2 linked regions of the Drosophila melanogaster genome follow. The protein of the gene in region 2 interacts with the protein of the main gene of each other region in a pairwise test. Each region holds a gene or a part of one and is shown on either strand. Other genes may lie near its edges.

Region 1 (2,947 bases), on a different chromosome or scaffold from region 2:
GCCTTGAGAAGTCACGACTTACTAGATTTTCACCTTCAATCAAATAGTCAATCTGTTCTTGTTCAGCGCACTGCGATAAATATTTGTGGCTCTCTGTTGTTATTCTAGATTTTCCTTATAGCCAGTATTGTCTGTTGCCTGTTGGCTGCTGTTTGTGTGCCGTAAAAACTCATTGCCAGTTTGGGGCGTCGCTCAACTGGAAATGTGGCCAAGCCGAGGCTAAAACTGAAGCTGAAGCTGAAGCTGCAGGTGTCTGTCTAACCAAGTCATCTCACATATATATATATATACATATGTACATATATTTACTTTGTAGATACATATATTAAAATAAGTACATAGTGGATGTGCCAGCCTCCATGTAATTGCGCTGAGCATTTCTTTGTGCGGCTTAATTAGTGGCTGGCAGCAGCCTGTTTTTCATTTTAGAGGTTTATAAATGATGCTCGCAGAAGCACAACTGGGCTCCATTCGTAGGCAGCTCAATTTAAAGGTCCAAACAAATAGTTACAGCAAATACACAGTTCCAATTTTCGGTAGTAGACTACAAGTCTAAATTCTTTATTAAATGGCCTTTTTCGTTGCTGCCACATTGTGGTAGCGAATCGAGAATCGGCTAAAGTTGTGCGAAGTGATCTCCTTGGTGGGCGTGAATTCCGCCCGCTCGATAATCGAGCGCGGACTGCCGATATTCAGTAGCCAGAACTTCAGCACGTTGACCTTGGGCAGTGTGCCCTCCAGCTGTCCCTTCACCGTGCCCTCGTCCGTGTTCATCACCCACCCGCGCACCTGGTTCATTGTGGCCAGATCTCGTGTCTGCTTCCGCAAACACACACCCTGTACTCGCCCGAAGAGTTCGAATCCGCAGGAGAAGATCTGTTCCGCTGGCTGCATCATCTTCAATATGCTTCGTTTTTTCTAGAAATAACTCCAACTTATTGTCGATCGAGAGAGAGATAGAAACAGAAACTCCACTTGTTGAAATTTAGTTGATTTTTGTCAGTGTTCGTTACAGGAATGTCGCAAGCTCCTAGATTCCCTTAAGCAGTTAAGTGTTTCCTTTCGGAATGTGCGCTCTGCAGCACAGTGAAACCCAAATAATGTTAACACAAGCAAAACTTGCTAAAATTAAATGTTAAACTACTGGGTGTCAATGATATCGCCATTATGTGCTTAAATTAAAATCGACGAAAGAAATAGGGAGTTTACGTTGGAAAAAGGAGCAGTGTATCGGCGAGAGCGCTAATGACATTGTATCTATTGTATATCCATAGCGTATAGCGTATCCCATATCAGCACTGGGGACTCATAAATCACTTGCCACACTCATTCGCACACACGCACACATTCACATGCGACGCCAAGTTCATCTCATGGCAATCCAATCAACTGGCAATGCCACAAAAGTTTGCAACCACCAAACCAGAGCCGAAACCCTCCCCCCCCCTTGTTCCTCTTGCCAGCAAGCCTCCTTCCTTCCCCCTTCCCCCTTCCCCTTCCCCTATGGCCCATGGACACATGAACACCCCCCTCGAAAATGGCAAAACACCACCTATGGGCAGCGCGAACAATAACTAGCGAGATAAACAGACAACATTCGGCGTTAATGCAAACGCGAAACGCCGACATCGCAGGCGATACTAAGGCAAATATTTAATACGATATTTATGGCCTAGGCACAGGATCAAGTGCAAGCGGGATGGGTAGACAGAAAGAGACCAAAAGGGAGAGCATGGGGAAATGAGGTCCTTTGAGCCAAGGTATTTGCAAAAGATGCCTGTGATAAATGACTACAGTTACAAGTACTCGTCCGACAGCTTCCAGAAATTGGTTTCCCGATGACTACATAAATTATACTTTTTCACAATTATGTCTAAGGTTTGTAAGGAAGACTATTAAATATTAACGATACGATATATTCTCTAGAAATTAACTGCTTTTCATTCTTCCACCCTGACGTTAGCGTGCAACCGAAAAGATTTTCCCCCTTTACCATCTACATTTTAAGAAACCAAACGTGTACGTATGTTGAAATGGCCCTAAAGCTGTCAATTTGGTTAAGCGAATTTAAAAGTTTTCGCAAAGTGGAACCAAAGGCTTCCAATTTGGCCGGCACACTGTGGCCAATCCAACTCGAACTCCGTTCGTCGTGTGCCCATTCAAATGAAACACAGCACGAGCCTCGGGTTCGTTTCGAGTTTCAGGTTGGATTTCAGGTTGAGACCGCCACCGACGTCTCCATCGAATTCGCAGTTCCGTCGCTGCCTCCGTCGACGTCCGTTCGATACTGTTGTTGTTGCTGCTGCTGCTGTTGTTGTTGTTGCCGTCGAGCCGAAGGTGAGCAAGCCAAATCAAACAAACCGAAGCGCAGCAAAAAAAAAAGTACGTTGAAACGCTTGAAGGGACTTCGCATGCCTCGCCGTTGGAGCTACGAACGAACGGGTATATATGTTTGTATGTACATGTAGGCATAAGTATAGGTATCGGTATATCTATAGATACTATAGCTCATGCTGTTGCTGCCAGAAACTGCGCTTCAATTGCGACAGCAGCAACAACAACAACAACAGCAAGTCGGTAAACAAAACTCAGCTTCTCCGAAGGCAAACTGCGTGAAGTGGGAGAAAGAGAGCCACCAGCAGCTAAGAGAGAAATTGTGAGAAATTGAGTGATCTTGCAGAACGGATAAACACCAGATAAGCAAGGCTAACAGGGAAAATTCAACTGCACTTAATCACTGATATCAACAAAGGGGGTTTCTTTAAAGATCAATTTTGTATATAAATATATATATATACATAAAGTGGTCATACCAAAAAATATGTATTATTGTTATTAAGTTATTTCCTTGTGGTCTTGATATCATCTTTATAGATTAGCTGATTTTCATAGTTGCAACATATTTCTTGGATTTTGAAGTTTCAGTTTCTGTTTAAAGTATGAACAC
Region 2 (4,934 bases):
CACATGGGCAAAGTGTATTCAAAGGGTTAACTTACAGCAGAAGTGAAATATACGGTTTTAACATGAAAACTGTATTCTCAATATTTACTAAAGCAAAATTAAGAAACCACGATATTTTTTAATGTAAATACGACTATTCTCTCTTTCATTTCAAAAATTGATAAATTGATAAATAAAATTCAAAAATGTAATCTAAGTTTGAAAACCAAACATTTTAATAATATACTATTCTTGGCAAACATTTTTGTTCACTGTGCAGGAAAATCTCCTAGGCAGCCTTCAGATGGACAGGACTGAATCAAAGATGGCATGACTTGGCCACTTACCCTCGAGCGCCCGGTTCCTGGAAATTAAGGCGAGCACCAGTTCGGGATTTGGGTCATCCTGGTCGACAGCCAGGTGATTGTGGTGCGGATGTTGCTGCTGCTGTTGCTGCCCACCGACCAGGTGAGATGCCTGCGGCGTGGGTGGCAATTGTTGCTGCTGCTGCTGCTGCTGATGGATATGCGGCTGATGTTGCTGGTGATTATCCATGGCTGACAGGTGCTGTTGCTGCTGCAACGGATGTTGCAGCTGCTGATGCGGATGTGGCTGCTGCTGAGGCGGATGCTGGAGCTGGTGCTGATGCTGGTGGTGATGATGTAGCGGTGGCGGTGGTTTCAGGGTTTGCATCATTGCTGAGGGGCCGGCGATTTGAACACGCGTCGTATGAGTTATATGTATATTTCAGTTAGCTTATTCCAATTGGCACACGTTTGTATCTTTAGCCCTGTTTGGTGTTTAAAAAGCAATCTTTGTGTTAGTTTACCGCACTCGTTTCCCGTTTAGCGTCTAAACGAGACTCCGCTAGGCGGGATCGCTGTCTGCTCGATAACTGGCATTGGTTTGTGCCCAACAGTGGCCCGGTTGACTGTTTTTCCCTTATCGCGGCGGTCTCTTTGGGTTTCGGTTTCTACGGTAGAATCTAGATTCCAGTCTTGCCACTCGGTTGGGCTCGTGCTCAGTGCTCGGCTGCTCTATCAGTTGAAGTAGCCAGGGACTTGAACAATTTGAATTTGTTTGCGATACCGGGGCACACTAGACCATCTATTGTTCGGGTGCTTTCGACCAAGTGCAAGGCGGGTAAACTTTATGTAAGCCGAGGATAGGGCCAAACTGATCGGTAGATATTCAAAAGACCGTTTGGCGCATATCTATTCATCGTCTATCACGAGGAGAATTCTCGTGCGAAGACAACAAATCGGATGTGCACTATACTATCTATCAAAAAACGGTCAATGTCCAAGGTTTTTTTATCAAAAACGAACTGCTAATGGTTCCCAAATCAAACAAAATAGTTAAAAAAAATTTTTGTGAAATATTATAACGTAGAATATTTGATAGCAAATATCCATTTAATAGTTTATCAGTATTTGAAAACTAGTTAAGATTGAAGATAATTTATTTTATAGAAATTCAAACAAACAAAATAGGTAAACAATTTATTTTTTGTGAAATATTAAAACGTAGAATAATTAATCGGAAATTTCCATTTAATAGTTCTTCAGTATTTGGAAACTAGTTAAGATTGAAGATCATATATAAATGAAACAAAATACTATGAAATTTATTTTATAGAAATTTAATTTTAGGAGCAAAGCTCCTAAGATTAAATTGAAATTAAAATGGCTAACATCGGGAGTTGGAAATCGCACATTAATCTTATTTTGATTGCCTTAAATCTTAAAACAAACAAAATCCAATCGTGTTAGTATTAAAATTCATATACTAAACATTTTAAAATCCTAAACGTATCTTGGTTTTGTAACTCTTCTCAACACAATTTGCTCAATAGACTTTTTTGTTTTAAGGATCTACTGTTAAAATGTAACATTCCATTTTTTAATCAAGCTGGCTTTCTTTTCAATAGTTCCTCAGAATTTTAGCCTTTTTATTGAGCCTTTCGTTATGCGACGGAATCGTAAAACCAGTGGAAATGATTTGCATTTACCCTATTAAAATTTTTTGCGTCACTTTAACACTCAACTCTAGTATTTGTTAACTTTGTTAATTATTGGCTGGTTTTTAATTTTCTTATTTCAACATTTCGTATTATTTCGTTTGAATTTTCTGCGGCACTTGAACGCGATTTTATGCGAACGCCATTTTGGCGACGGCATCGGCAACTTTAACGGTAACGGTAACGGATTCGGCAGCGAAAACGACGACGGCAAATGCGAAGCCAGTGCGACAAAATGGCGGCGGCATGGCTAACGGTGTTTGCCCAACGGTAAGGTAACGGTCTGGAAACGGTAACGGTGTCGGTAACGGTACGGCGGCAACCCTGGACGCGGCAACACTGGCAGGCGGCTGGTATTGTTGCTGGTGGGAATCCCCTCTATTTGCCGCGCTGCATCTTTATTTATTTTCTTGGCCGTCCAAACTGTCGTCTCTCCTTTTTACTTTGCGCACTTTTTCACGCTTTTTCTCGACTGTGCGAGCTTTTAACGCTGTTGTTTTTTTTTTTTTTTTTTTTTGTTTTTTGCCTTTCGTCTTGTATTCGTGTGCCGTTTGCCGTTTGCCTTTTGGCCGCCCACATGGGTACGCCGTGCGTATACGTACTATCTGTGGGTGTGTGCGGGTGTGCGGGCGTGTGTTTACCAATTGATCCTAATGTGACACAAATGATATGGTAAAATGCATACAGCCAGCCCTGAATGGCAGGACAACAATGGCAACAAGGCGGCGAGGCGACAACGCCAGCAGCGACAACATTTTTGTGCTTCTTTTTGGAGGCCGTGCGCATGTGTGTGTCGCTCTCTGGCGATGCCCATTTGCCCGAAAAGTCCAAATTCCAAGAGCATTACAATATTTGTAAAACGCAAAAACTTTAGCCTCGTCGAAAAAAGAAGGTGTGGAAACTTTTTTTTGTTTCCCTCTGCCTCAAGAAGCTTGAGCTGCAAAAGTGCAGGGGCAAAAAAAAAATGAAAAAAGGAAAACAGCACAGTGGGTAGAACAAAAAGCCAACCAACGTCGAGCGCGACACCTTCGTTGGCCCCAAAACAACAGTAAACAGCACTTAAAAGTCAGCAGCGACGTCGACTGAGGCGAAACAAATATGAGAAACTTAACTCAAAGGTCCAAGTCAATACGCGGCGCGCGGTCACCAAAAATGCGGGGTCTCCACTGGAAAACAGGCACCGCCCCTTTATATTGAAAATCGCTGGAAATCGGCCGACGATAGAGTCCAAAAGCAACAAGAACTTCCAGGCATGCGCAGGCAGTGGCCATTATCTTATCGCCCCAGCGTCGCCATTAAAATGGGGCTGGGGTGGCCATACGCTTCTATTCCTAGAGTTCGATGTCGTTCCAGCGCCGGCGCACTCGAAAACCCAAAGCTGGCAGGGTGATGGGAGAGGGGGGAAGTTGCTACTCCATGCCCGAGTCACCCGTTGCCCATGAGTTCGCTGTATCTGCATAGGATTCTCGCTGTCTGTGTAGTTTCGGAACCCCTATATCTATAGTGGATACTTGCCACCCGTCCCGAAAACCCCTTAAATGCGTTGCGTCTGCAAAAACGATTTTGTTTTCGCATTTATTTATGAGCCGCTTAGAGCGCGCCAAATACTTTGCCAAACACTTTGAACCCCAACGCCATGCTCGAGAACCCCACGCCCCCGCTCCCAACGGATGACCTCCGCCCACCCACCGAAGTGGACACTAGCAGGGAAGGTCGTTTGTGGGTTGGGTTCCGCGCTGCGGCGGAGCAAGGAACGCGAACAGCTGGAGTGCGTGGGTCGCTCGAAAAGTATGCCCGGTCTGAGAAAGTCTGCATAAAATGCCAGATACAAAGTACGTATAAATATTAGAAAAAAACATGATTCCATCTTATGCTGTAAAATGTATTACTTCATACTTATACTAAGACTTTTGTATCATCATCATTTACAGCTTGCCTGTAATATATATTGGATACTATTACACAGAAGCTAAACTATAAACTGTATAAACTATATTACATATTTCCTTTATTAAACATTCAGCATTTTCTTATTGGGCTTTCGTTACGCGTGCGGAACAACACGAAAACACGGCATACCCTTGAACCCAACTAGTACCGATTATAAAAAAATATAGGGTAAGAGCATAAAAATGCAGCGTGACCCTGAAACTGAAACTGATCGTGAATGGAAATGGAAATGGAAATGGCTGATGAAACCGATGCACTCAATCCAACGCGATCCCAATCTATGGCATCCCAGGCGGAGCTTCACTTCCGCGGTTACCAAATCGACTTTGACTTTCAAATTTTCCAACGCTTTTGTCGCAGACGTCTGTCTAATGGAGCCGTTAATGGTTAGACACATGAAGTATTTTGCCAAATGGGCTCGACTTGGGACGGTTAATTGCTGATGATGTGATGATATGGAACCGGATCGGCAGTGGGTTTTGGGGGGGATGGCGGAGATTTAGTAAGCAGCAGTGCTAGTGTTTGGATAACACATTTTAATAGACAATTAACAAGCAGTTTGTTTAAATTTTCTTCACCGACATTTTTAACTTTTGTCCGGCGATCTTGTTTTCGCTATTGTGTCTTTTGGTAGTTACATAAACATAAATCTCGGCAATGGGCCAGTCAGAAAGACAAAAAACTTGCTGCCACTGCACATTTTCACACATAGCCGGATTTTTGTTAACGTTGTTGGAGTTCCCCCCCAAACTTTTTATTGGAGGGTCTCGAGATTCGGAGCTCATTGAGACTTGGTTAAAGCGCAGCCAGCTCATTTGTAGATTCGAATGTCAGCGGTGAACAAGTGCGGAACCAGCGGAGCGGCTAAATACCCAAATTCCCCCCCAAAGTAAATCGCGCCTTTTTTTTTGGATTAACCAGGATCATGGACTTTGATGAGTTCCGTGAATTTGGCCATGCCTCCATCGAGTTCCTTATCAACTAT

Evidence for each region.
Region 1: the proteins of Lim3 (region 2) and CG18371 interact in a two-hybrid assay, tested with the Drosophila melanogaster proteins (2 studies listed by BioGRID).

Annotation. Positions count from the first base shown.
Region 1 is NT_033778.4:14,026,684-14,029,630, reverse strand, and holds CG18371 (uncharacterized protein), read right to left. Parts: upstream 1,012-2,947; 5' UTR 898-1,011; coding exon 565-897; 3' UTR 535-564; downstream 1-534.
Region 2 is NT_033779.5:19,105,397-19,110,330, forward strand, and holds the start of Lim3 (Lim3), read right to left. Parts: upstream 3,032-4,934; 5' UTR 1,991-3,031; intron 880-1,990; exon of another isoform or gene 770-879; 5' UTR 676-769; coding exon 327-675; intron 1-326.